4 linked regions of the Astyanax mexicanus genome follow. The protein of the gene in region 2 interacts with the protein of the main gene of each other region in a pairwise test. Links are inferred from orthologs where the notes say so. Each region holds a gene or a part of one and is shown on either strand. Other genes may lie near its edges. The genes, in order: fbxw5, adamtsl4, cpne7 and ammecr1.

Region 1 (7,799 bases), on a different chromosome or scaffold from region 2:
TAGAAAAGACTGAGAAGAATCTTACCTTGACAGTGCAGTCTTTGGAACATGACGAGAAACGGTGTCCACGGTGAGAAAAGGCCAGGTGTAGGACCTGGTCATGATGTTCCCTCAGTGTCTGTACCTCTACGCATGGGATGCAGTCATACAGCCTTTTAAATTCCCTGTACCATGACACAGCCGCTGCAGAAAAAAAAACATAGAAAAAATTATGGTCCTTAACTACATTTTTTGTTCTCTTTGATAACAGGCCTAAGCCCCATGTTCCAACTTTCGTTGACTACCTCTTTTTTTTGTTAAAAAAATTAGGATATATTCACTGCAGATCAAGCATGAATGTGTATAATAATTCATAACAATTTTAAAATAGTAATATTATCTAGAATGTTAAAATAAATGCAAAGGCAGTGCAATATTTCTATCTGCAGTACCTGGGTGGCGGGGCACAGTGCGTGGGATGCGGTAGTAGCTGTAGAAAAGCTCCCTCCACAAGAACTCATCCCGAGATACAGCAAACCACTGCCGGCATGCCAGGCCAGCCCTCAGCACCGCAGCATGGGGAAGATGCAAGAAGATCTCCAGCACCAGGCTGTCTGGCAGGCCAGGACCATTCTCCATCCTGACATCCTGAGGGAGAAGCACAAACATCATCCTCCATTAGTTTTGGCAGTATTACTTACATTCTTGGTCCTGTACAATCAGCTCTATAGACTAGAAATCAAAACAGCACCTCTACTACCTGAGAAGACTAAGAAACGTTTTGGATATTTTAGAAAAGAGATAGAGATATAGAAATATACACACACAGTTTGTCTAGCCCTGTAGAAAAGAACTGTCAACAGAATCACTCTTTGGCGCAAATAAGCATAAATCTATAGACACTATGTCTATAGCCAGGTGTGGGCTAGAAGGATATAAAGCCCCCCAGTATTGAACTGTAGATTTTTGCTCTCTCGAATGATGGTGCCCCAATAATTTTAGGAAGAGTTCAGGAGATAAGGATGTGGTGGGATGGGGTTGCGTGTTTGTAACGATCATCCAACATTCGGACCTTACTAATGTTCCTGCTGCTTAATGCAATCAAATCCTTTAAGCAATACTCCAAAATCTAGTACTAAGACTTAATTAAACAGTAGAGACATTTGATCTAAAGTTTTTTTTTTCTACAGCAATGATTAGGAAACAATTAATGTGTCCCAAAGTCCTCCCAATACATAAAAAACACTGGCACCAGCCCACGTTTCCAATCTGTTCATTCAATAAATCAATTCTGTTATAGTAAATTTAATTTTATGCAACTGCTTACTGGACAATCACTATAAAATCAAATGTATCCTGTGGCAACTAAGAAAAAACTAAGGAAGTTTAACAGGGACTGGTAGTACTATTCTAAACAGACCCATCAAGATCATTTTCTAGGTGCAACATGACCACTTGCAAACATAGAAACTTCCAGATCATTTTCTCCCTTTCTAAATAAAGCAGAGGCAAGCCATAGCTCAGTGCATACATGCAGCTGCTTACAGAAGTAGTTAACCTACTAGTTTTTGTTTTACAGAGCTACTAATCGAAGTTTTAAGAACGCTAATCTAAGTTTTAAGAAAGGTTTATATGATGTATTAAAAGGTCCTTTCTAATTAAGAATATGTTCCCTTAGCATAATAAGATATCACATAGACAGGTGGATAGAAAGACAGAGAGATACCTTTACAGCATGTTGCCTCAGTAAAAAAAAAATCTGTTACCATAATTTAACAACCAATTCCTCTAGTGCAGTGGTTCTCAAACTGTGATAAGTGTATCAGTGGTGATGTATGAAAAACACTAAGGAGCTATATACCACCAAGTAAACTTTTTAATTTATCAGCAACTGAGTATTAGATCTAGGTATTAATTTAAGTATTAGATTAGTTCTAACCTCAATTTAATCGGTTTTCTAAATCCGCAGGCTGCAGAGCATCAAGTGCAAAACTACAAGACTGAGAAACAGCTTAATTCCAGAAGCTGTAAGACTCTTAAACTCCACCTAGCCAACACACTGCACTGACACTCTACAATGACAATTACATATTTAAAATTACACTGACACTTTAACCGCACAGTGACACTTTATTATTTTAAACTGTTCTTGCAGGTTGAGTATGGGAATAGTTAAATCAAATAACAACTGACAATTTAAGGGGAATATTTTAAGACTCTAGACAACTATAAAAAATAATATTTTTAGGTAATTATACCTATATAATATCTATCTTTGGGTTTACTACATTTCTATTTAAGCTAGTAAAAGTAGTTTACTGTGATACATCTATTTTATGCAATTACTCACTGGACAATTACTATAAAATCTAATGAATCCTGTGGCAACTAAAGAAACTCATAGACTTTAACGGGCTCTGGTAGTGCTATTTTAAACAGACTCATCAATGACAATGTCTTGGTGTAACAAGTAGATTAACCACTTTTGTAAGCAGATTTACTAGCTAACTTACTAACCAACTGAGTGATGAGAAACGTACAACGTTAAACAAACTTAACTAACCCTAGATCATCTTAGCTATAAACTCCATATGGAGATTATCGCTAGTTACCAAGGTTAACGTCCTTACCTACAGGCTGAAAGCCAGATATAACTTGTATTAAAGTATATTAAAATGTAGGACAAGTGTTAGAACATAAGTATTAGCTAGTTAAACCGCGTTAACTCTTTTAACCTGCTAATTTTCAGCGTTTTGTGTGTGGAGAGAATCAGCTTTCAGTGGAACTCGCTAAAAACAGAGCTAGGCTAGCTCTAGCTGGCTAAAGGGGTAACCGCTAAAGCTAACCTGATTATGTTGGGCAGCTCATAAACAGAGATTAAAACGCGCTACAGACACAGTTCAGGATTTATACTCTTCACACAGACAGTCAGTACTCCGCTCCACCGAGTCTTACCTGTCAAACCCCAGAGTTATGGAGCAAAACGAGAAAGTGTAGCCAATATCCGAGAACACCGGCTAACCGCCTAGCTCCGCTCCCAGACCTCACCAGCCGAGCGCCAGAAAACTGATAGAAAGGTGAGTAATCAGGCAAAGACTAATCAATACCCGATCACTACGATAGATATCTGTTATCTGACACTGCGCAGTTCCGCTATATTCCATTACTCCTTCTCCTTCTCCACGGGAATAATCCAGATCATCTGGGAAAGCGAACCCACTCTTATAAAGAGGAAAACCATGCTGTGCTGATTAATAATGAGCGGTAAGTTCAGACAATATTCAGTTTACCATTCATTCCTAACCTCTCATTCTTTAGTAACTTTAATTTAAGTGATGTTTCTGTATGACATAATATATGACATATAGCTAATTACAGGTAAAAAAAAAAAAAACGCCTAAAGAATTTTACTCTGGAAGAAAAACAGGAATAAACATTCAAATGATTAAAAAAAACAAAAACACTTTTAAATAAAATATAATTTAATGTTTAAGTAATATAACTAACAAGTTACTTTCTAATGTGTTATACTAGGATTTGGCCACAAGGCAATACAGTGGAGTTTCTGAATGACATATAGCTATATCTAACTAGGTAATGTGATATGATTTAAAATGACAGCTATTAAGCTTCTCTATTTTTCTAAATATTTGTAAATTTTTAATTTGTTTACCACAAGTGCTTCTCCACAGGTAAAATAAAGTGCCTAAAGAATTTTACAATGGGAGAAAAAACAGAAATAAACATTTAGATGATTAAAAATTACTTTAAAATAATAAAAAAATAAGATAGAAATAGAAATAAAACGTAAGGTTCTCAGTGTATTATAGCTAATAGGGTGTGGCCACAAGGCAATACTCTCACTGACAAAAAGAAAACCATTTAAAATAAATTATATAATTTAATGATTCAGTAATTTAACTAAAATGTTACTTATGGTTCCTAATGTGTTATAATAGGATGTGGCCACAAGACAGTAGTGGACTCTCTGTACGAAATATAACTATATCTAATTAGGTAATGTGATATCTAGGTAATGTGATATAATAATAAAAAAAAAGCTTTACTATTTTTCCTAAATATTTGTACATTTTAAACATTTAAAAGATCACCACAAGTGGAAACTACTCCACTGTTAAAACCTAGTTAGCAGGTTAAAGTATCTATCTATCTAAAGAAAGTACCTAAATAAATTTACACTGGGGGAAAAACAGGAATAAATAATCAGATGATTAAAAAGCACTTATATAAAAATAATGAAATGATTCAGTAAAATAACTAACAAGTTACTTAAGGTACCCAATGTGTTCAAATAGGGTGTGGCCAAAAGGCAATACAGTCATTGACAATAAAAAATAAAAATAAACATAAAGATGATTAAGAAAAACACACTTTTATATAAAAAATGAATCAATGGTTCAGTAGTATAACTAAAGTTACTTTAAGTTCCCAATGTAATATAATAGGAAGTGGCCACACAAAAAAAAACACTTTTAAATAATAAATAAATCAAATTGTTTTGTGGCTTTGTTCTAAGTAAACTGCATCACCTTTCATTGTCATTTATTTATTTATTTTTCAATATATGTTTTAGATTTTTCGTTATCTGTATGTTCGGGTAGGGTTGTAAGTTAGAGGGGCATGTTTAATTCTAGTCCCTGTTAATACCCTTCTCCTGTTAAACAGTTCAATAAATATATATTTAAAAAAATAAATAAATCAATGAATCAATAATATTCTTACTTAAAACTCCTAATATGTTAAAATAGGCTGTGCCCAAAGGTAGTACACTCACTGCCTCATTAAAAAAACAGAAATAAATATAAAAATTATAAAAAACTTTCAAATAAAAAATAAATAAATGGTTCAGTTTTATAATTAGCAAGTTACCTTAGGTTCCCAATGTGTTATAATAGGGTGTGGCCACAATAGAGTGGAGTTTCCGTATGAAATATAGCTATAGCTAACTAGGTAATGGGAGATATATATATATATATATATTTCTTATAGCATTTTCGTTGTCTCTTTGTTTGGGTTGAGTTGTAAGGAAGGGGGGCATTTAAGATTTATATGTGCTATTTGGGAGAAACGGTTTAATTCTATACCCTGTTTATATTCTTCTCCTATTAAAAGTTCAATAAATATTAACATTATAAAACATTATATAAAAAAAAGAAATTAATTATTCAGTAAAATAAAAAAAAATGAATAAACTTTCAGATGAAAAAAAATGCTTTTAAATTAAAAATAAACCAAATTGGTTAGTGGCTTCATTCAATGTAAACTGCATAACTTTTATGGTCTTTTTATTTTTGGTATTATTATTAGTTTAGTTAGTTCGATATCAGTGTATTATTTTATGGCAACTACGAAGTGCATTTGTGTCCTCAATATATTATGTTGTGCCCACACATTAGGGGGCAGATATATTATTATATTATATTATTAAGGAGTTGTTACTCCATTGTAAGCTTGTCAAGTCAACTAATATGTAAAATGAATCACATGGTTATGTATGCGTTCTGCTATCAGGACTTTGCTACCTGTGGGAAAAGCTGGCTGGCTGCTGCAGACCCACAGGAAGTCCAGTCACAAACACAGGATGACACAGTAACCGTACGTATGCCAAAAACCTTACAATCACATGAACTCATATTTCCAAGTTACCCATTACTGATTCAGTGACTACGGGAAAATGACACGCATATGTGTTTTTTGACTCCTCAGAGCAGCAAGTGTTGTCAGCATGGGAAAACCCCCCGCCAAGCCAGCAATCACCACCAGCCAGTACACTGCCTGTTGTAGCGGCTCAGTGGTTTAATACCTGGTGCTAATTGAGATGTTGAAATATTTTTTAATTGGGCGCCAGTTATTAAATTAATTTAATTAGATCAATTAATTAATTAATTAATTAATTAATTAATCAAATTAATTAATAACACAAGACATCTCAGGGTGTGGTTTCTACAGGTGACAGAAATTTTCATAACCAAGTTATCCAGAAAAACACACTGAAATGACAGGTTTTGTAAAATAAAAGTATTTATTAAATCACACAGATATGAGTAAATAATTCATTAAAAAGTCATAAATGTAGCCATTAGCTATCAAATCATAGTGTAGAATGATAAATGAGAAATAAAAGAACAAACACGTTATAATGCTGATATGAAAGGAATAAAGATTAATATAACTATTAAGTGAGTATTTCTAAATAAGGGTCTAAGGCATTTTAAGTCTACGAAACCAATTCTTATTTCCAACCAAGCCACTCAAAATGAGTCATCTATACTAAAGACGCTCTATTAAAGACCCGACCAAACCATGACCAACAGACACCATCTGCCGAAAGATTAAACCCAGCTCTGCCTTACTCTGAGTTGTTGAAGTGAGCCTTGGTGACGTCCGCCTGGGTTGGTCGTCTGCTGCTTCACCCCGAAAAAGGATCACGTGAGCCTGTCTGCAGGGTGGGTGGACTTCCTGTGTCAGCACGGAGCCCCAGTAGAACCCACAGGGTAAATCCCTTCGCTCTCAGGTGGCTTGCTGGTGGCCTCCGGACCGCAGGTTTCTGGGTTGGATCTGGCGGATCTCCTTTTCAGCTGTACTTTAGCTAAACTTAGATGGAATAATGCTTGGCTTCGTAGATTGTAAAATAACCTTAGATATTTTAACTAGGATAGCTAATATTAATATACTTGAAGATTAAATGCACTAGTCTAAGAAAACTAACTTAAGATGACTAAACTAACGGTCTATCCTTTCTCCATCTCTGGCTCCCTAACCTCTCTCCTCTAACTGTTTTCCTCAACTCATCTTCTCCAACTCCTTCTCTAACTGCTTCTCCTCCAACTGCTCTGACCTGAACTCCCAAAACTCAACTGGCAACTGAACTAAAACTGTGTCTGCCCAGTTTACTATTAGTCTCTGTGGCCTGTTTGGCCCCTGAGCTATGATTGGCCCTGTGGCCCAAATGTCTGTGTTTTGATTGGTCTAGGAGCAATTTCAAACTTTGGTGGGGATTCACAAAGGGCCATAAACCCCCCCTCCTCACATGGTCAACATGCTTCAGCATTTTTCTAATAGATCAAACCAAAAGAAAACTCAATTAAACAGTGGATCAAAATACCTTTTTCAGCATATCAGTTTGTGAGGATAAATTCAGGAAACAAACAATCTTACAATTGAATCACAATAAATGTAATATATATATATTTTGCCCACAAACAGTTTTGTAATACTCAAGATAATCTTAGGAATACAATGATGGATGGTACTCTGTCAGAAAGAGATCAAGAGTCATGTTATTATTTAAACCCAATTAAATCACTTAAAAGATAATACATGGTTAAACCACTGATAACCAAATAAAGCTAAATTATCAAATGCTAGTTAAACCTTGTTGATTCAGACTTGAATGTGTAGGAGAATTTAATCAGGACACATCCAAACACATATACCATTATCTAGTAAACATTCTATAAAACACCTTTTTTATATAGTCAATATATATGTATTTTAAGCAAAATCTTCTCAGTGAGAAATTCCTCTTCTCTGCTGAGTGTTTAGATAAGCGGCTGTCGTCGGAATTTACGACCGTGGGGGAAGTTGGTGAAGTTGGTGTTGGGAATGTAATTTCCAAGCTAAGAGCATTCATTTTAACTTCATGAATCTTATTTCTAAGTGGTTGCAGAAAGCACAAACCCCTAAATTGGTATAATATATTTGGTGAATTTACAATTTCCAAGGCATTCATTAAGTTTTGAACCCTCTCTCAAGTCCCGTAGTCCCGTCCTTGTCCTGGTGATTGTGCTGTTGGCAAA
Region 2 (7,495 bases):
TGCCACATCAACATGCAAGCAACTGCCAGGAAGGAAATTCACATTATATACTGTAAATTAAATCTTAAATGCTGGGATACACGATAATGAGACCAAAAAATGGAAAGCATTCTTAAGGAAAAAAATGGAAGAAATGCACATACAGGAAATGTTAGACAACACTACATATCCAACTAAGTGCTCTCAAACAAATGTGAGGAAATGAAAGTTGAACCACACCACTTAGGCGCTGCCTAAATAACATCCTAAAAACTGAGAATCAGAACAAGAAGGGGGCAATACAAACAGACCAACACATTAAAGGACCTACAGAGTTAACTGGCTGACAACAATCAACAATATAAAGAAGTGTGGATATCTGTCTGTATGTCTGTAATGAAAGGCATTACTCAAGAATACACCAAAGAAATGCTAGAGTGGATTTGTTTTATATGGGATTTTGTGGTCAGATGAGACCTTAATTTACCTTATTTTAAAACGCCATGTGAACCAGAGTGCCCACTGCCCAACAACCACTATCCCAAAAGTGTTGTGGTGAACTGGGAATCTTGTTAGGACAGATGGATGTATGTATGATGTAAAAACAGCATGCAGATCTTTATGCCATGCTGAAAAAAAAAGAACCTGGCCATCTTAAGCTGGTTAAGCTGGTTGACCAGCCTATATCTTGACCAGCATAGGTATGTTTGAGTTTTATGATTTATCAGACCCAAAAGCATGAACCACCTGACCAAGATAGACATCCAGCATGACCAGCAAAACCAAATCTGTCGACCAGCATGAACAGCATGGCAAAGCATGACTAAAAACAAATCCATCATGTACTCAGCTAGTCAAGAGGTGGTCAACCAGCTTGTTTACCAGTATATACACTGCCTGGCCTAAAAAAGTGATCTGGGGTTGCTGCAGTTGGTCAGGTATAGGTTCAGCAACAGTATGTGATGAAAGAATGAAGTCAGCTGACTACTTGAATATATCAATTGATTTTTTTTTCTTCCCTGATGGCACAAGCATATTCCAGAATTCATGGGGCTGGAGTTGTGAAAGAGTGGTTTAGGGAAAACAGTGGTTCAGGGAGCATCGAGATCATTTCATTTTCCGACCAGGCAGTGTAGTATGGTTCAGTCTAGATAAGAAGCTTTTCAACCAGCTTAACCACCATATACCAGATTAGATCATCTGAAACCAGCTACCAGCATCCCATACACACAAAAACAAGGCACATAACAATAGAAGGACCAACCAACCTACTGTACTGTACATCCCAGCACACACACCCACTTAAAACAATATAGAAACCACTATACACCACAACATACTCATAAGCCCTACCCGGACGGGATTCGTTTCTCAGGGGGACGTCTGTGAAAAATATTTAACATTTCTACTCCGGACTGAAATTGAAAAGACAGGAGGATCAATTAGTTTTTTGGCTTTCTCGGTCACAAGACATCGTGTTCAGTAGCTCCTCCATTTCCACTTGCTGTTGTGTTTACGTGGATCTATGTGCGTCCAAACTGTAATCACGTTGCGTGGCAGTAGACAAATAACTATTTTATTAAACGCGTGATTTAATTAAAATCACAGAGGACCCCCCATAAAAGAGAAAATCCCCCCAATACCCCCTGAGAAACTAATCCCGTCCAGATAGGGCTTTAGAAATTCAACAATAAGCATGCCTTCATTCAGCACCTTATCATAAATACATAAAGACAACAACACACACTACAACAGACCCCCACCACCGCTGCTTCTGAGGTCCACCTGCTCTGCACAGGTTGGAGTTTTCCAGCTGTGCGGACACAAACCTCTAGACCACAGCTCTGGAGCTGGAGGTAAACACTGGCCCAGACCCATCTCAGCAGATGTGTGTCCTCCTGAGTGTAAACTCAGCTCAGTGCCCAGACCCTACCCCTGACCACTGTTCCTCCATCTCCTCCAACCCGTCCTGCAGAACTTCTGCTGCTTATTTGTCCATCAAACCATGAGCTAATCACTTCAGACACTGAGGGGTTTTCGTGTTATTCTAAGTCATGCATCTGCGGATTCGGTTCGACCCCCCAAATCGGCGCGGTGCAGTCTGCGTGCAGCCGCAGCGGAACGTAATGGGACGCTGCACAAAAACCATAATTGCTGCGCGCCACCGCGGAAACCCCAACGAAAACAGCGCCGGACAGCGGCACAAAAAGCTCCCGGGGAGAGCGAGGGGAGGGGAAGGGCAAGGGGGCACTGAGACCTTCTTCACCACGCAGCCAGCCAGCCCTAAAAACCCACCAACCCACCCCTCCATCGCCTTATCCATCCGTGCCTGCCCATGCGGTCGCTACAGTGGAGCTATAGCTTTGGAAAACGGTGAAAAGGCGCGTGAAGGAGGCACTTGCTGAAATTAACGCACAAACGAGACTTTTTATTGGTCTAAAAAAACACAATGTGTGAGAAACTGTGTATACAGGGGAAAAACGAAGCACGTGGGCCAAAAAAAGCTGGTGTACTGAAAAATGACACCAAAACACACCGAAAAACACGAGACTGAAGTTTGTTAATATTGCTGGAGGCATTAACCTCCAACGTAACCAGACTAAACAGCGCTAATAATAACGTTAAACCCACACACAGGGGCTTACCTGCACACAGACCCAGGCCACATTCTCTTTTTCTTTTTTTCACTCTTTCTTCCTCTTTATCACTTCTCTCTCTTTTCCTCCCTCTGAATTTCTCCCTCTCTTCTCCTTACAGAGCTGCTCGCGCTGTATTGAACCCCAATCAGGTTTCTTACTGCTTCCAAATCCGGATTCAAGCACGAAGTGAAACTGTGTCCAAAACTCTGTCCAACTTTTTTTTCTTTTTTCCTCTCTCTCTCTCTCTCTCTCTCTCTCTCTCTCTCTCTCTCTTTCTCTCTCTCTCTCACACACACACACACACACACATACACACTCACTCTCTCCCTCTGCACACTGACTCTCTCTCTCTTTCTCTCGTACACTCGGACTCTCTCTCTCTCTCTCTCTTTCCTCTGTCACTTTGCCTCTCCCTCTGGCTGAGTCACACACATTCGCACACACACAACACACACACACGCCCCCCACCCCCTACTCAGGGGTAAGAGAGGGGTGGGCCACTTTTTTTCATTTCTGTCGTTTAACCAACTTTTCCTTTTTGTCCTTGTGGAGAAGTGGTGTGACGTTGGACAGCAGGGGGGCCTAAAGGGGTTGGAGAGTGAAGGGGCTGGAGAGTGTGTGGATTACACAACTGCACACACGTGCACACACACTCTTAAGTGTGTATTCCTATCTAATGTGTCTCTGTGGGGTGTTTTCACGTGCATGCTCTTGTATTATTTCTGTTCTATTTGTTGTTACTTTAGCTTCTGTGTGGAAGGTTGCCCATGAAAAGCAGCCAGGTGTTCCCCACAACATCCAAATGTTCATATTTTCATTTTTTCAGGTTGGCACATAGACATCCTATTTTCATATAAAAACTTTGGCAGTGTAATAGGAGGTGCTAGAGAGCACAGTGAACCCCATATACACCTGGTCTCTTTATGAATTTTGGGTATCAGGATTATATCTAAATGAGGCCATGCCATATAAAAATACAAACGTAAACACACCCAAAACAGATTAAAACAGACACAAATCTGATCACTTAAACCACTTCAGGAGGAGGTCCAAGTCCCAGTTCTTACCTATCATTAACATATCCTGGGTGATCCGATTACAGACGATTGCTAAAACCTATAGCTGTTCACACCTGCCATTTTAAATGCTTCTCCTGTGACCAGCAGATATCAGATTTCCCACATCATTTCTACTGAAAAAGTTTACAATAAGACTCTTAATTCTTTGCATAAGAAATAGACGAGGCACTTAGTTCACTTGCACACCGGTCACAAGTATTGCTTTAATCCAAGTCATGCTAACTATACACTAAAAAACGTTGAAAAGACTAGAATAAATTTGAATTGATTAAAGTCAAGACAAGACAAGACACCACAGAATGCGCTTGCCTTGCTGCTTGCTGTAGCTCTCCTGTTGGCTGTTAAAATTGTTTACGTCACTATTCGTTGAGCCAAGTCAAGAACACGGTTAAACACAGTTGATTTTATCTGAACGCCAGTATGAGAAAAAGACTGACTTAAACCTTCAATCCTAACCACCTTACACTGAATGTTCAAGATGACACAACCGCAAATCTACTCTAGAAAGACTCTCATGATTTTATTCAGACACTGGATATTTGTCTATGACAGTGAACTCCCTTGAAAATTTGTTTGGTGTAATGTATGCATTACCTAACTAGCTAACTTGTGTAGACGGTGTGGCCTCTGGTATTATATATGTTCTGCCATTGGCAATGGCATGGTTTACGCGGCTAGTGCTTTGCTGTCAGGAACGCATTGAAATTCTTTAAGAATACTAGAATAATGTGTATAATATGTGTCTCTGACTACCTCTAAATATGGTTTGAGTGATCAGATTACAGTGCATGCTCGAAACATCTCACCTCTACTTTGTGCTGTCCACTTATGATCGGATTACCCAGGACATTGTTAATGCAAGGTGTGAATGGAGTTTATGACGCATTTGAGCCATGTTATAACAGTGTAAACGCATCCATCTCTAAAAGCCACATTCAACAACCGAAACACGTCCTAGTACAAACGAAACCCCTCCCCATGTAGTATATAATTTGGCATGTGATTCGTGTCTGTGAGAAAGATCATCATTGAGGACAACAGCATATAAAATCATGCACAATGTCACGTAAAATTTGTCAATTTTAAGCAACAATTAAAATATTGTCCATCTATCTGGACATGAATTTGACTCGTACGTAAATGTATGTGGTTAAAATTTTATCATAATACAACACAGATATTAGTTACATGAAGTGACCAAGTGAAAACAGGGTCAGTGACTTTAAACATAGCACTGTAGCAGAATTCTAAGATTGGCCACAAGTCAGATCATGAAATTCTACCATGCTAGAGCTGCCCTGTTCAACTATGAGTGCTAATATTGTGAAACAGAAATGTGGAGAAAAAACAACAGCTCAGACATGAAGTGGTAGACAATGCAAACTCTCATGTACAGTGTAAATATCTAATATATCTATCTTGGTCTGTATCATTCCAAACCAGTTGCATCACTCAATATCAATTCCAACCTGTCACTGAAGGCAACTTCATTTTCGTCAGAGCCTTATGAAAGAGCCTTTCCCATGACTGAGCTGCATGCTGGATGCCTAAGATCATCACCATGTGCAAAGCAAGTGGTAAAAGGCTGCAGTGACATACAATGAACCAGAAACTGAGCAGTGTTATCCAGACTGATAAATTGCTCTTCAGTGTCGAACGCCTCTGTTGGCTTGTTGCAGTAAGATGTGTAGCAATGCTCATCCCCACATGTTTAAATAACAAAAAAGAACATTTATTTCTAATTCCATCTCCAGTGTCTAATTACAACAGTTGGTTTTCCCTGTGCTAATGAAGGCAAAATTTTCTCATTCCTCACAAATCAGTTTTTACTGATTTTGAGGAACAGTTATTACACTGTATCATGATTGATACAGTCTTCTGCATTATTAGATGGAGTAGCTGAGTTGTGGTTGAGCTGTCAGGCAACTAGTATTCATAATGTTATTGATTACATGGTGTTGTGATATGTGGTCACTTTGGAAAATGTTTTTTTTTTGTAGGTGGAAAATGTTTTTTGATGAGTCTTATGTTAGTATAAAATTATGATAAAAACATGATCTTATTACTTGATAACCAGTCAGCTAACATTAATGTAGTTAGACATGCTGAACTCTGTAGTATCTGTTCTCTGCCAAGAATCTAATCACATTTATTTTCTGGTGTCCAAATACCATAAAAAATTGCAATGTATTTTCTTTTTTTTTTGTAAATTATACCTGGTGTGTGCTGACTTTGTTGCAGCAGCTCAGGTAGTAGCCTGTCTCAGTAGCAACCAGATATTAACTGTACTGTATTTTAAAGGAACTGCACTGTTGGAACTGTTGGAACATTAAAATCCACTTTGCTTCTGGTTCCTTAACTCAATGAAGGCAGTCTGAGACAAGCTCGGTCTGGGAGAAGGGTGTGGGTCTAAAAAATAAGTAGGCATAACTGGCCCTAACTTTGGTCTCTTCATCACAGACACGTTTGTCTTTATTGCTATAAAACGGAATATACTGGAATCTCAGTGTCCATGTTTTGTACAGTCTTTGGTTCCACCAGTAAAGTCTGATGAAGGGTGGATGATGATTTAGGGCTGATTCTCAGTGATTGGTTTCTTAGTTACAATGTGAAACTTAGATACAAATACTTTTCTCATTATTATTTGCTTCCAGCTCTGTGGCAACAGTATAAGGAATAGTTTCCTGTTCCACTGTGACTCTGTCCCTGTGCACAGAATGAGGTCTATAACGACATGGTTTGACGAGTGTGGTGTGGAGAAACTCCAGTGACCGGCACACAGCCCTGACCTCAACCTCTGCGAATACCTCTGGGATGAAGTAGTTAGTGTTACAGCTTTGTTAGGGGCTCAGATTTGTTTTTATTCCACTTAATTCCTTCACCAGGCAGGCATGCATGCACACACACACACATTCACACACTCACACTTACACACACAGCTCTCCACACTATACTGAACTGGCAGATTTAACCATGCCATAGGATGCATTTATTGTTTTAAGCTGCTGTATGATGTATAAATAGCAAGTATATGATGCTGGCTTGGACAAAAACTGCTTTGATATGAACAACTTAAAACCTTGTTATTTTGTGTTTACAGCACTGGTGATGGGTCACAGAAGCAGGAGATATAAATACCTAGGCGCTGCATTGTCTGCTTTGGCCTGCTGCTGCAATATGTCAACATGTCCACGGTACTGGTCCATGCAAGACAGGCCTGTAAAAAAACTAAGGAAGCTGCATTTATTTCTGATTAAAAACATAAAAACTGCACATTTATCAACCGGTTTTAATGAGTTGCTATATTATATAAGGGTTTTTAATCTACAGCCCTAGACCACTTCAGTATCTGAATCAGTTTATCTGATTTTGCTATGTACAGGTATATGTTTAAGTAAAATGAACATTGGTGTTTTATTCTATAAACTTTGGACAACATTTCTCCCAAATTCCAAATAAAAATATTGTCATTTAGAGCATTTATTTGCCGAAAATAAGAAATGATTTTTAAATCACATTTTTTATGCATCTTGTCATGTTCTCCTCCACCAGTCTTACACACTGCTTATGGATAACTTTATGCCATTCCCGGTGCAACAATTCAAACAGTTCAGCTTGGATTGATGGTTTGTGATCATCCAGAGGTTTTCAACCATCTTCTTCTTGATTATATTCCAGAGGTTTTTAATTTGGTAAAATAAAAGAAACTTATATTGTGGAAATTGTTTTTTTCTATGAACTTCCCCATAATTTTTGTATTTTTTGTGCTCTAGGTCAGAACAAAGTTAATTCACTTCG
Region 3 (6,974 bases), on a different chromosome or scaffold from region 2:
ACCCACTGACTTTAATACAGTATTAACCGGGCAAATCCTTTATTTCACTTGACATTAAAACCGCACTGTTCTCTTACACAGAGCAGGCTGGCATTTCTCTGTGTCTACCACCTGAAAGAGTGAGTACACCCTCATAAATCTCCTTGAAGATGAACGAGATCGGATCAACAAGCACTAAAACAAAGCCTGAAAGCCTGAAATAATAGGAAACGCAGCAAATGATCCAAAGAGGCTGCATCTTTCAGCACCACTGGGCATATGAACAGCTCTCCGAGCCCAGATCGAGTTCAGTTAAAGGTACAATAAGTGTTTTTTTATTCAAAATACCAGAGTAATGAATGGCATACAAAATGAATGTTACCAGACAATATAAATCACTGAACCTCACATTGTAACAGGTTGTGAGGGTACAAGGCAATTAATGGGTTGTAAAATGCCTTTCTTTGTCACTAAAAGAAAATATATCTGTAGGAAAATACTACATACTGCACCTTTAAGCTAGAAAAGTTTAAATACATAGATTTGGGGCTGATCCTTGGGAAAACACCTTCAAAACTTGTGCATAAACAGCATTTGTGCTGTTAAAGTTAATATCAAACATATTGGAACATTTTCTAAATGCCAGAGGAACCAAACTACAAAAGATCTGACTCATCTGATTTATGATTGACGACAAACAATACACACATACACACATACACACACAAAGAGAGAGAGAGAGAGAGAGAGAGAGAACTATTCTAAGCTACCACTAAGGCTTATTAGTGCTTAGATAATCTGTTTTTCAATTTAATTCAGTTCACACTTTATTCAAATTATCCGATATTGTCCGATAAAAATGTATTATTGTTTATTTAAAAATCTATGTAGCTGCTTTGGATAATTTTTTTAATTCAAATTTTTATCCCATTTTCTCCCCAATTTACAAGGTCAATTACCCAACCAACTCAATCTATCTATCTATCTATCTATCTAGTAATGTAATTCATCAGCTCACAGACACCTGGTGCTGATCCACATCACCCTAGGAGTGATGAGGGGGAAGAGCGCCATCTACTGTACTCCCCGGTAGCCGATGGCAAGCTGCATGAACAGGATTCGAACCTGCAATGTCCGCTTTAGGTTAATTTGTCATAAAAACAATAATATTTTAATAGGTCGGGTTGATTGTATCATTACAACATTAGTCCACTGAAAGTCTCGATAAATCTTTTACCATAACTGAAATTTCCCTCAATGAATTGCTGTCGAATAGAGTAAATTTGAACTGGAAACTGAATTGAATTGACCTTTTTCAATTCTAATATTTTATTTTATTTTATTTTATTCCATTTACTCAGTGCCTGTTCATATGAAGTACCCCATCACTATCAATGCCTCAAACATTTGCAATTGCAGGGAGAAAACTCCGGGGCTGAGATTTAGTTTAGTTTAATTTAGTTTTTGCCCCCCTCCCCAAGCAACAATTTTTTTTAAATGATGTCTGAACAAATCTCTGAACCAATCACGAAAAAGCATTGTGCTGTGCAACATGAAGATTATTTCTTTGCTTATTTCTGATTGGCTCTTTTGAGTCATATAAAAGCAGCAGGCTGTTTGGAGAAGTTCATTCAGAGACGTTCTGGTTCAGTACGACAGGTCCTGTCAGTGTGATCATGAGAAACATGGATACATAAGGGCAAATTAAACATGAATGTTTCATTCAATAGGTATACGCAGTAGGAAACCCTATAATGCGTCGTTTTCTGTTGAAGACACATGCAACATTTTAATTTATTTACTTCATGCATCAAATTAGCCAGTATCATTAGCTCTGGCTTTAAAATATGACTATCAACATGCCCACCTATTATGTTCTACTGCCCCCCCAACAAAAGCAACAAGCCTCATTTCCAACCTCTGTTGATGCAGCATCACTGGGTAGCCAGCACTCGGAGGAAAGCGCAGGATCCCCAGATCTGATACATCATCTAACTGACTGTGCCAACCAGCATCACAATGAGAGTGATGTGCGGAGAGTGTGCCACCTACTGTACCCACCCAGAGAGAGCATAAGCCAACTGTGCTCTCTCTGACTCTGGCTGCTGATGCCAAACAGCAGAGTTTGGTGTCAGAATTATGTCAGAAAGTGACAGCATCTTATTCTGTTAGACGTCTCGAAGCCCCTGAGATCAATCTTTAAAATGTTAGACAAAAGCAAAGCCATAATAATTTATGTGGGTTCAGTTTTCATGTAAACTCTATTTTGTTCAGTAATGGTTGGTTGAGTGTTGCTTGTACATTTACAACATAATTTTTCTGACAATCCCTTTTTATATCCCTAAAATGGACTGAATTTAATCTAATCTAAACGGAAGTTGAATCAGAAACTGAATTTAAACTACTGAAAAGATATTAAAGCTACAACATTAGTCATCTTTTGCTCATTCATTCTACTAACCCACCCATCACCATTCAGCACATTCAACACACTGCACTGTATACAGAACCTCAGAAAATATGATTGAACCCAGCCCACACCTTCATCATCATCACCATCATCATTACTATTAGCTCACAGTGAATGCTTTACTGCTCGTCTTCCTAAAGAAGTGGAAAGTTGAAAAACCTGAATAAGATTTTAGCTGCACGTGGCAAAGCTTAGACATGCACAAAGCCCAATCAATAAAACACATACATCCCATAATAATATTATTTTTAATTATAATATTATTAATCATAATTTTAGTAATAAAAGCTGCAGTAAATTGCTGCTTATTGCTTCCTCCATACAAAGGCAAGCAACAGATCTGATAAAGTCAGTGACCAAGACTCATCACTTCACCGTCAAAAACGATAATAAACACGCTGAACTCACGAGCCCGCAGCTCCAGAGCGCTCGCGCCTCTTACCTGTTTCCCTGGCGCACTTGTTTCCCCAGTGTTTCCAGTGTGTTTCCTCCGGCTGCGCCTGCTACAAATATTATTTCCCAAACTGATGTGCAGCTGAGAGCAGAGGAAGAGCAGGAGAGGGAAGGATGGGTGGAGAGAGAGAGAGAGAGAGAGAGAGAGAGAGAGAGAGAGAGAGAGAGAGAGAGAGAGAGAATGGGAAAGAGAGAGAGAGAGAGAGAGAGAGAGAGAGAGAGAGAGAGAGAGAGAGAGAATGGGGAAGAGAGAGAGAGAGAAAAATTGTTGATATTTCTTTTCCCACCCATATTCCACCCCATTAGCCCGAGATTGTCTTTGAAACCCCGCCCCCCCACGCTAGGATTAGCTACTCACAAGATATTCTCCAATCAGAGTACAGATGGGCGGGGCTAGTGAGAGTATGGGTGGTTGAAGAGAGATAAAAGCGAGTGAGGTGAGTGAAAGATGCTCAGAAAGCTGAAGATGGTGCTTTGGATAATGATAGTGATGTTAATACTAAAATATGAAACAAAAAATAAACAATATGCAGCAAAACAAGACATTCCAGACTAATATCAGAATTATAGTTTTGCTTGATTGCATATAATACAGTAGAAATGCACTTTTTTGTGGCATCTATATAAACAAGTCTGTAAAAAAAGAAAAAAAAAGAGACCACTTAAACCAAGCTGAACTGCTTGAATTTTTGCACCAGCAGCGGCATAAAAATATCTAAAAGCAGTGTGTAAGACTGGTGGAGGAGAACATGCCAAGATGCATGAAAACTGTAATTTAAAACCAGGGTTATTTAGGGTTATTTCTGAACTCCTAAAACATGAGAATTGTTCTTTCCAAATGAATACGAATTTGTTTTCTTTGCATAATTTAAGGTCTAAAAGCTCTGTACCTTTTTCATTTTTTTGACAATTTCTTATTTTATGCAAATAAATGCCCTAAATGACAAAATGTTTATAGGAAATGTTTGGAGAGAAGTTTATACAATAAAACCCCAATATACCAGATATATATATATATATATATATATCTGGTACAAAATAAGAGACCACTTCAAAATAATCAGTTACTCTGTTATGTGTAACAAAATACTTTTTTGTTAGCAAGAAAAGAGCATGAGTCCCAGTTGCATATTACACATGAATACTATAAGGTATATACTATATACTAATCATAATAGTGCAGGTTTGGTTTGGCAGGTAAGAAGAAAGAATATCAATGTATTAACCTGTTTTGTATTAACAGGAAGTGATCTCTTTAAAATTATATTTCATGCAAAGACACAAACACATTTAAAACAACACAACATTAGCTATTGATAATGTAACCTCTCATCACTGAAGCTCAGGGGAAAAAGACAATCTCTGGGCATTTAAACAACGTTCGTCAATAACTAAACAAAACAAAATTGCTTCTAAATGTCAGTGGCTGTGCCTTCTAACGAATGCAATCAGCTATTTTAAGTTATATCCATGGGAGACACAGATGTGCAAATGTATACACACACCAAGCTTGTGGGTGTGTCGAAATATGATGGATAAAGCCCCAGCATTGGAATTGTGTTCTCTGGAATGATGGAGCTCCATCAAATTATTTTGGATGACTTGAATTGGGGAGTTGGGGAGTTGGGGATTAAGTGGGCAGTTCACAGCATTTGTCCAAAATCTAGAAGTAATCTAATAGTCTTTTCTGGATAGTAAAGACCAGAGACTGTAAAAAAGATGGACGCCATGTCGCCGCTCCCATTCATTCAATGAAAATGGAGCCAAAATTTTCCGCCATGTTGGCGATCCTGAAACCCGAGTCTGTGCAGTAGAGACCAGAGGAGGGAGAAAGACTGTGGAGAGACAGCCTACTCATTAAAATAACCCCGCCCCTGAGGGCTGCCTCCACAGAGCTATACACACTCTATAGTCCCGCCCATACAGTCATTGGTCCCACCCTGGCTAGGTGTTACCCAGCCCTTTTACACACCAATAACAACACCTTTTTGAATAGAGCTGAATAACGTTTTAAAATATGAATTCTGTAGGGATATAAAAATCTGACAATATAAGCAGAGGTTACACTAGCTGTTGCATTTAAATAATGGCGGTAGAATTACAGTATATTGGAGGAAAAACGTGATTGAAAGTTGTCTGTTTTGCCATTGAAAACTATGGGGATGGGTGGGCTTACACAGCTTTCTGCAACCGAACAGCAGGGGGCGCCCGACCTGTGGTGGCTTCACTTTTGAGAGACAATGCTCTGTCCAGCTATACACAGTCTATGGTAAAGACAGTTACTCCAACAAAAGCAGAATAAACTTATTTTAATATAATTGATTTCAGAAGCAACAGTAAAAGAGCAGGTGTCCCATTACATTTGTCCATATAGAGTATATATGTGCAAGTCTGTTTATACAGTAATTCACCACTGGAATCGCATAGGAATGCACCACTTTAGTTTTTTCTCGCCTCTCATGCCTTTTCTTTCTCCTGCTCTCATCAAATCACAGCAGCTCACAAGCTGTCTCTCACTTTCCCCACAGCGCCTGCAGTCATTTGCAGCTGCTCCACACCAGAATTGGACGAGATGGCTTTTCTGTTTCCTCCTCAGCACTTTATAGTCCGTAAATGACTACTCTCTTTAACATAAGAGATGCTAAATATGGTGCTTTGGAGAGCTGCCACAGAAGAACCACTTTTGGTTGCCTGAAGAACGGTTCTTACAAAAACGATCCTTTATGATGAGCAAGTGGGGACAACCTGTTTTAAATATCCTCCACATAATGCAAAGTTCTCCCCCCGATTTAGCTGTGCCAATTAACCCACCCACTTATATGAACCACCCTTCATAAATGCAGTGCCTCCAACACAAGTGACACACGTGAAGTCAAACTCTGCCTCTTTTCCAACTTCTGCCAATGCAGCATCACCATGCAGTTCTGATCGCCAGCTCTGATACATAAGCACACAGACGCCCACGGACGTCATTTGGGGTGGGGACCTGTCCCCTGCAGTTTTTACGGTTAAAATCCAATGTCACACTATATTAAATAGAGATGGATCAGGCGCTAGGACCAAGCAGAAAACAACCACTCAAGCGGAAGCCAGTTTCCCTTTAGACCACCCACAAGCTCATGGACTGGCTCTGCTGCTTCTTGCTAACGTGTCATTGGTCGCCGCGGTTGAAGAAAAAGTTGCTTTGATTTGTGATTTCAAAAATATGATGTTAACAGGTGATTTGCAATTACCAGTAGCAGTATCAACTAAAAGTCTCTACACTGTTAGCTTAAGTCATAGACTGTATATAGCTGGAAAGAGCATCGTCTCTTAAAAGTGAAGCCACCACAGGTCGGGCGCCCCCTGCTGTTCGGCTGCAGAAAGCTGTGTAACTCCACCCATCTCTATAGGTTTCAATGGCAAAACAGACAACTTTCAATCACGTTTTTTTCTAATATACTGTAATTCTACCTCCATTATTTAAATGCAACAGCTAGTTTAACCTCTGCTTATATTGTCAAATTTTTATATCCCCACAGAATTCGGCGACACGCCGTCCATCTTTTTTTACAGTCTCTGGCTTAAGTTAAGCTGAATTTACTTAAAAAAAAATGTAGTAAACCGGTTGCCTTAAAAAAATTTAATAATGGGGAATTTAAACTTGAGTTAGCATAAATTAAAACATCAAGTTAATACAACTAAAGGGGAAGTTGACTTATTTCTAAGGTAGCGCAGGGGGGAATCACTACACACTGATGGTGAGTGTCAGAAACTCAGAACCTGTTGGACACACCCAGTATGCAAATAGATTGTGACAGAAGCCAATAGAAAAAAAGCTGTTAATGGCAACAGACTAAACTCAGTTATTATATATAAGTTGGTTCAACTCAAAGATCTCAGTTTGAATGTGCAGTATATGTGCACACAAAAGTTGAGTATTGTTTAGAAATGTTAAATGTTATGTAAAACAGACTTAAATCATTTGAGTTTAAACAACTTCTGAGTTACAGTGTAAGAGGCAAAGATGAGCGGCATCCATCAAATCACTTCAATACTTTTGGGATGAGTCACTGAATTCAGCGATGCTCCA
Region 4 (7,994 bases), on a different chromosome or scaffold from region 2:
ACATTCACAAATTAAATACATTTAAAGGCAAATGTTTGTGTACTGCTACTCAAGTGGAGGTCTAAACGGATCCATATTTGCTGGAGTCATATTTTACCTATGTTAACTAGTCAACCTACCTTAGGTTGTTATCTACCTCTATTTTAACTTGAATAGCAAGCAAACAACATGGTCTGGGTGATTCGTCCACCAATGTGCTGGCTAGTGTTAACCCAGCTAACGCTACCGAACAAAGCAGCAAAAACTGACCGGTCACTCATTCGCGCTACAGTGATGTTTATTTGCAGGGTTAGCTTTCGCAGACTGGACATGTCCTTAAATTAAGTAATTGGGTTTGCTAATAACTAACCTCAACCACCCAAATTAATATAAGCAGAGAAACGCCAATTAAGCCTAGCTGGAAATATGCTAGGGAGTCGACTTTAAAACTACACTGCTCTGCTGTTAAAGGCACCGTAAACAACTCCGGCTTTGTTAGCTAACCAATCTAGCGCTAGCTAGCTAAGCTAGCCAATGACTGCTAGATGCACACCTAGATAAATAGATAGACAGCTAAAGCGCTTGGCTGTTTTTAGCCGACATTATGCTTGACAAAAACAAGCCAGCCAAAGGAACTAATTATAAACGTGGAAAGAACTGGTGTCGAAATTCTGTGTAATTTCAGGAATTTCACTGGCAAGTGAGCTAGCTGGCTAATATTCGTGGCTAGCCGAACAAGCTTAGCTAACGTGTGCAGCTTGGTTAGCTAGCTAGCGTAGCTAACGGGTTCATAATTCAGTTCACTGTAAAACATCACCCAACAGAGCGTTAGCAAGAGCACACAAAAGAGACACACATAAACTACCGTATGTTTGATAACAATCCAGTTATTTACCTACGTGTTTTTGAAATTTGTTTGACCGTATTTATAGTATAAGAAACCCACACTAACCCAGAGAATTAGCTTTAGCTGAAATAAAGTGGGACGCTCGGCCAGTGTATCTGATAAAAAATTAATCCGGACTAAGTTGGCTAACCGCTAGCTAGCATTAAACCCGTAAGCTCACACCAGTCAGTGTTTTCGTGGTAAATAGTCCAGCTACTTGAAGTTCATTCAAACAACAGCGGCTTTAGTAAATAAAGGAACTCGGGCACTTTTTTCTCCTTCCTTAGGCGACGAGTTGATTGAAGTTAGATAGGTTACTTTTTTAGAGAAATATCTAAAACTACAAATGTTTTCAATCGTAGCCACCTACTTAGCTAACTCTATCTGAACACAAAAGTTGAAAGTTACCAGGGAAATACATTTAAGCATTTGGTAGTTAATAAAGTAGCAAGAAAATATAGGTTAATGGTGACTCGTGTCAGTGTTTACTGAAAAGCAGGCAAGACTCCTTAGCTAAACTACTTCAAGTCATATTTCTTTAGGCTTCTTTAGGTTGACAAAGACCGAGAACATCACTACTTAGCTGCTATTTTAGCCAGTTAAGCTAACTTAGCCATCCCGCTACTTACTAGGGGTCGTTTGTAAACCTGGGTGTTCGGGGAGGCTGGTATCCGTATAGATGGCAATAAAGCACGTCGAAGCAGAAGCAACACATCTCCGCCGACACTACCATCTTCCTGGCCCCGCTTCCAGAGCCAGGACCGGGGCTGAGGTTCGGAGAGAGGCCGGTAGAGTTGTAGCCTCCCGGAGTTGGGGACAGAGCGGTGGAGTTGCCGCTGCTGCCTCCTCCTCCGCCGCCGCTGCTGCCGCCGCTACCCCCAGGACCCCCCAGGCCGTTCACCCGATTCACGCTGCCGGCCACCACGGTGGAGGAGGACCCGATCCCCAAGTCCGATCCGCAGTGTCCGGCCCCTGCCACCCCGCTCCCCGCCCCGCCGGGCCCCCCCGAGCCGGGGGATCCCGACAACTTCTGCTTCTTCACCCCGCAGCACCCGGCCGCCATCTTCGAACAATCTGCACCGACACACCGCTTCCGACCCATCACCGTCACCGCGGGAAGGGCGGGGGGAAACGCCGACCACACGTAAAAGTCCCACTGCGTCAGGGCGTACGACGGACGATGCTCCACCTTTCCCTCCTCCTTCTTTCCTCTTCCCTCCTCCTCCCGCTCCCGTCCGACGAGCGGCGTAGCTAGCGAGCTAACACCCGGAGTAGTTTGACTGGGGGGGGGGGCGGTGGGGCGGAGAGCTGAGGGGGGGCTGTAGGGAGTTAGGTTAACTAGGGAGTGTGCGGGAAAGTGTGTGGGACTACGAACGAACGCACCACGCACGCAGAGGAGAGCCTCTGCAATGTCACCCGAGCTTCTCCAACGGCCGTATCGTACGCTGCGGTCGTACGCAATGTCCGTAAGCAGGCGGCCAGCCAGCTGCGAACCTCTGCAAAGCCAACGACGCTTGGACGGAGCCGCGGTGTTCGCAGTGTTTGTTGATGGGGGCAGCGGCAGCAGGCCCCTCGCCGCTGCAGCTCGCAACACGAGTCTCTGTCAAAGCGCGCAGACATCCACAGTGTGCAAAAAACAAACAGGCAAAAAAGGGCGTGGAAGTCGAGAGTCGAGAGGCTTCAGGACGCGGCGGAGCAGGAGCAGGACCAGCGTCCACCGTCCCCTTCTCTCTAGCTAGCTGTCTCCCCGGTCCACCTCCCTCCCTTCCTTAACAGCACAGACACAGCGCAGCTTCCCGTGTGGAAATGGGGGGCTTTTTTGAGTACGCAGGACCCATACGGCTCGCTACGCCCCGGCTAGTGCTTTCTTTTTATCGGTTGTTTACTTGCATCCGACCTTGGCTAGCCAGCCAGCTAGCTAGAAAGAGTCGGCCGGCCGGCTTCTTCCTCCTCCTCTCCCTCTGGAAGGATATATAGAAAGGCTCCGAATAGCACAAGTTATCCGCAGCTAGGATGGCGCTTTCTTTTTTTCAGGCACCGCTGCAGTTCGGCTTTTTTGACAGCGCCAGAGAGACGCAGAGAGTCATTTCATCTGCGCGAAAGCCCAGCGAAACACCGGCCGTCCCCTCAATGCGCAGTAGCCTCGCTATTACACCCACCTCCCCCTGGCTCACCCCCGGCTCACCCCCACCTTCACCCCCAGCTACGGCTCTTTTTACAGTAACCCCACCAGCACTGCGAGAAGCAGACTGAGCAAACTGGAAAGTTTTCTCTCCACGGCTTTTAACGTTGCCATCCGTTTATTAGGGCACATTTTTTTGCTTTTGTTTTGAACGGCTCGAGACAGAAGTCCCCGTCCATCAGAAGTCTCCGGACGCTCTCCCCCCAGCCGCACGTGCTCGCTAGTCCAGTCCCAGCGACTGACATGAAAGCCCGGTTGCAGTTTAGCTAACGTTAGGTTAATGTGGAGGAGGCGAGGAGGAGGAGGGGGAGAAAGAGGGTCCTAGCTATGCGACCAACCCGAAGCGTATTCAAGAGCCGTATTCACTTCGTGCACGCCGAACCCAGAATCCAGAAGAGAACGTAACTAGTTTACGCACACTTCGTAGCTACGCATCTTGCGTATTCTTCGCAGCTCCGCGAATCTGTATTCTCAATCTCGGCTACGTGAGAATTAAAAGGAAAAAATGCTGAGGCAGAATCCTCTCACGGAGCCGTTGTTTTCTTCACTCAACGATTTGTCATGTAACGTTAACAGTCTTCATTTAGTGAAGTCTTCATCTGTTCTTGCCCATCTTCATCCTATAGTGGAGAAAGAGACAGAGAGAGAGAGAGAGCAGGTCAGGAGGAGGAAAAGGAAAAAGCTAGCTAAGCTATCTATTAGCTCCAACCGACACACAGCCAAATGTGTGCTCAGCACCCAGCGACTGACTGAACAGGGAGGATGTCCTGGCGTGTTCTCCCTATTCATTCAAATACCCCCAGTCTAGCAAAATGTCAGCAGCCTACACACAACATCATTCATTATTATTCACCAGAGCTCACAGGACACCAAGGTAGGCTGCAGCTCTTTCTCGTCACAGGAAACCTGGAGCTCCTCATCTCGAAATCTTCTTTCTTTTAAGTGAAGATATTTTGACTTTCTCTTGGGTCATTTACACAAGGCTAAAATATCAAATCCAAGACCAAATCTAAGAAATACATTTGTTCGCCATCCAAAAAACACATTAAGAACCTTTCCTTGAAGTTTTCCTTGCCTTATCAGTGTTTTCTCAGCTCTAATATCGAAGGTTAGGGTTGACACATTCTTGACATCAAACATGCCTGCAAATTACTGAGAAGAATCCAGAAGTATGTAGACCAGGGCAAGTCAGCTTTTGCCAGTGAAGATGTTTGGGTTGGCCCTATAAAAAAGTTAATGTAACCAACACCCTCATACAATGAGAAAATGCAGATAATACAATAAAATTTTTACAGCTAATCGCACAGCTCATTGAAAGGAGAACTCCACATTTTTCTTGAAAGTGAGATGGCAGAGCTGGAATTTATGTCACACACTTGATGTTCCAGTTAAACACTGCAAAATATTCTGTATTTTACACATGCAAACACAATTAATCTGTCCACAGACAGTTAGACAGTTATTTATGTATGAGACACAAATACATAAAGGTGCTAAGAAACTGAATAACACTACTACTTTTATTACGGTTGATGTACCATGCAGCCATCTTGGATTCTGAACACTGTGTTGGTGAGGCTCTCACAGCTTTCAGAGTAGAACATCCAGAGTAGAAAGTCTCTCTGGATAACAACTTCAATCAAATGCCCTAGGTGTATTTATACTCCCAAAATGAATACATATGTCAGGTTTAAATTATATAACATTTACTGCCCACATACGTTAGTGAGTCTTTTATGTTGGCATTAGGCAGTACGTGCAAAAAGGAGCATCAGAGTCATTGGTGGATTTGGATTCTAAATAAAATGGCTATATTTATGTTTAAATAAAGCATGGACATTATGTTTAATGGATGGATTTGTTGGACTCATTTGCTTTTTAGGACACAAGAACATAAATTACAAAATCACATTACAGTTAAATGTTAAACATTTAATATACCGCTTTAAAAAATAAGAGAGCACTTAACAATGATTTTCTTAGATTTTTACCAACTTGAAAACCTCTGGAATATAATCAAGAGGAAAATGGATGATGACAGCCATCAAACCAAGCTAAACTGCTTGAATTTTGAACCAGGAGTGCCATAAAGTTATCCAAAAGCAGTGTGTAAGACTGATAGAGGAAGACATGCCAAACACCAGGGTTTTCTGAACTCTTAAAACTTTATGAATAGGAACTTGTTTTCTTTGAATTATCTGATCGGTTATTTCAGCCACCTCATTTTCTGCAAATAAATGCTCAAAATGACTATAATTTTATTTGGAATTTGGGGGAAAGGTTGTCCGTAGTTTAGAGAATACTACTCAATTTTAATCAAACATGTACCTATAAAAGCAAAATAAGAGAAACTTATTCAGAAACTGAATTAGTCTCATAATTTTTTTCCAGAGCTGTACAATAGTTACACTGATCAGTCAATATTACCATCTCCTTGTTTATACGTATATTCTATTTATTCTGTCTATTTTATCAGCTTGACTGACCATATATATGGAACTTTGTAGTTCCATAATTACATGATGTTATAGGAGCCCAGGACCGCCGGCCACAGAGCAGGTATTAGTTAGGTGATCATTCTCAGCACTGCAGTGACACCTATGTGTCCTTGCTGCACTGAGAAGTCCACCAACCAGAACCAACTCGTCCTGTGACCACTGATAAAGGACTAGAGGATAACCAACACAACCTGTGCAGAAACCGATGATCATCTAGGTAGGAGTGTATAAAAGAATGAACAGTGAGTGGACACTGTTTAAAAATTCCAGCAGCACTGCTGTGTTTGATCCATTCGTACCAGAACAAAACTAACGAATACACCACCACCATAGTGGCTGAGAATAACTGGCCACCCAAACAATACTTGCACTGTGGTGATCCTGTGGAGACCTGACCAGTAAAGAACAGAGTGAAAGGGGGATACTAAAGTATGCAAAGAAACAGAAGGACTATAGTCTATAATTCCCCTAATAACTACAAAGGTTTCTATAGGGTCAGTGGAGCTGATATACAATATGGACAATGAGTGCAGAGGTGGTGTTAATGTTATGGCTTATCAGTCTTCAAGTGAAATGATGATCTGCATGGACCACACTTAAGACATCCCCAGAATGCGCTGACGGCAGAATCACTAAAACGTGCTCATACCTTCAAAAAAAGCAATTAGGATTATACCATTTCCAGGATATGCTGCTGATGCCTGAATCAGTGCTGTAAATGGATGACACTGGTGTTTCTTATAGCTGAGCTCAGCACTGAGGATTGAGGGCAACAGGTTAAAACTGAACACACTGAGGCAGCCTCCAAGCCACAGGGCACCTTCAGGTCTTTCATAAAAGTGATATTTCACAGTGTAACCCAAGCCTGTCCCTGCTGCATGTGCTGATTTGCTGGGGGTAGCAAGTTCATCAGGACAAAACATGGATATACGCCTTTGTCAGTGTGTAAATTTAGTGGACATGGATTGAGCTAGAGGCAGCACTAAAAGCATAATACCGTATAATAAACCCTGTAATTTATTCTTTATGTGGCATTGATTCAAAATACAAACACAACAGAACAGCAAATTATGTTATTTAATGACCAGTCAATGGGGAGCCAGACCTAATTACAGGTAAACACAGCAAGACATAAGTAAAAGCTGCACAGCAAGAGATGTGCCGTTGATGGTTATGTTAAATTAATTAGAGGTCAAACTATTCTGACTGGCCAAACAAACACAATCTCTCCTTTCAGAAAATTTTACAAGCTTAGTTTTCCAAAATGTACAGAAACTGCCATATATCTTCACAGAATTATTGTACTTGGTTTATCAGTTAATCTTAGGCCCTGTCCACATGTAAGTTTTAGGTGACTGAAAACAGAACATTTTTAAAATGCTCTTCAAGGTGTTTTATGCAAATGCGTCACAACTCATGCATGTTTCTGTCTATATCTCAAATTAATTGTTGCTCCCTATATTGTGAACATTTGCACAAAGAAAGTTCTAGATTTGAACATATGACTAAATGTAAATACTGTTCAATTACAAATACATGATGCTCTAATTCGATTTAAATCATAATCATAATTTAATGAAAATGAAAACTACATGAACTGCAGTTTTACTGATAAAACATTACACTTAATGGAACTTTACACAAATTGTGAATCCAGTCAAAAACTCCACTGCTTCTGGTCCTTTTGGCAGAGCTGTTAACGCATTGAAGGTGGTTTGTGGGGCTTGGGCAAACATAAGTGTGGCAGGTCTACCAACTGAGTAGGTTAAGTCTCAGACTCTGGTTGCAGATTAGATAACATGGCAGACAATTTATGTTTATTTCTACGGAACAGAGGAAAGCATCTGTACTTTCCACACCAAAGGATCTAGTGATGTTTAAATCCAACAGATTGCAAGGGTGGCCTGATGACTGTAGAATCATTTTTTATTATGAAGATGGAATCTAAACATAGTTACAGAAACTTGGTGACCCAAGAATGCAGTCTTCTGTATCTGTCCTTGGAACTGTTCTGCTGCTAGAACGGTGCTCATTGCTCCTCACTGTGCACTGGGACTCTCCCTGCAAGATGACGCAAGTGTATCAAAGCTCCAGCTTAATTATGCAGTCATCAAACTTCCAAGGTAAATGAAATGCAGCATAATCAGACACAAACCTTCCAATAGACATTTGCATGCATTGTATGTAACATTTTCACAAAAGAAGCCTATGATTACACCACCAGGTCAATTTCACAGTGATATGTGCAAACTATCATCTGTTTTAAATGAACTTGTAAATAAGCAGGGCTAAAGTGTCATGGGCTGAATTTGTGTAGCTACAGGTAAATACATAGGGGTTTGTGGCCACAAAAACAATTAAATTAACTCAAAATGGGCTGTTATTAAGTTATTAAATCACAAACAAAAGAAACACACGTCTGAGTCTTAACTAAAAAAAAAAGAAAGAA

The links.
Region 1: the proteins of adamtsl4 (region 2) and fbxw5 interact in binary tests that used the Homo sapiens proteins (3 or more experiments, as listed by UniProt). The two-hybrid records come from large-scale screens. The link is inferred for Astyanax mexicanus from reciprocal best matches to the Homo sapiens genes ADAMTSL4 and FBXW5.
Region 3: the proteins of adamtsl4 (region 2) and cpne7 interact in binary tests that used the Homo sapiens proteins (3 or more experiments, as listed by UniProt). The two-hybrid records come from large-scale screens. The link is inferred for Astyanax mexicanus from reciprocal best matches to the Homo sapiens genes ADAMTSL4 and CPNE7.
Region 4: the proteins of adamtsl4 (region 2) and ammecr1 interact in binary tests that used the Homo sapiens proteins (3 or more experiments, as listed by UniProt). The two-hybrid records come from large-scale screens. The link is inferred for Astyanax mexicanus from reciprocal best matches to the Homo sapiens genes ADAMTSL4 and AMMECR1.

Annotation. Positions count from the first base shown.
Region 1 is NC_064408.1:19,868,389-19,876,187, reverse strand, and holds the start of fbxw5 (F-box/WD repeat-containing protein 5), read right to left. Parts: upstream 3,039-7,799; 5' UTR 2,935-3,038; intron 628-2,934; 5' UTR 619-627; coding exon 432-618; intron 184-431; coding exon 26-183; intron 1-25. UniProt on the Homo sapiens protein: Substrate recognition component of both SCF (SKP1-CUL1-F-box protein) and DCX (DDB1-CUL4-X-box) E3 ubiquitin-protein ligase complexes.
Region 2 is NC_064413.1:29,579,687-29,587,181, reverse strand, and holds the start of adamtsl4 (thrombospondin type-1 domain-containing protein 4), read right to left. Parts: upstream 3,023-7,495; 5' UTR 2,648-3,022; coding exon 2,625-2,647; intron 1-2,624. UniProt on the Homo sapiens protein: Positive regulation of apoptosis. May facilitate FBN1 microfibril biogenesis.
Region 3 is NC_064423.1:36,516,975-36,523,948, reverse strand, and holds the start of cpne7 (copine-7), read right to left. Parts: upstream 3,023-6,974; 5' UTR 2,892-3,022; intron 1-2,891. UniProt on the Homo sapiens protein: Calcium-dependent phospholipid-binding protein that may play a role in calcium-mediated intracellular processes.
Region 4 is NC_064424.1:19,971,450-19,979,443, forward strand, and holds the start of ammecr1 (AMME syndrome candidate gene 1 protein), read right to left. Parts: upstream 3,017-7,994; 5' UTR 1,968-3,016; coding exon 1,495-1,967; intron 1-1,494.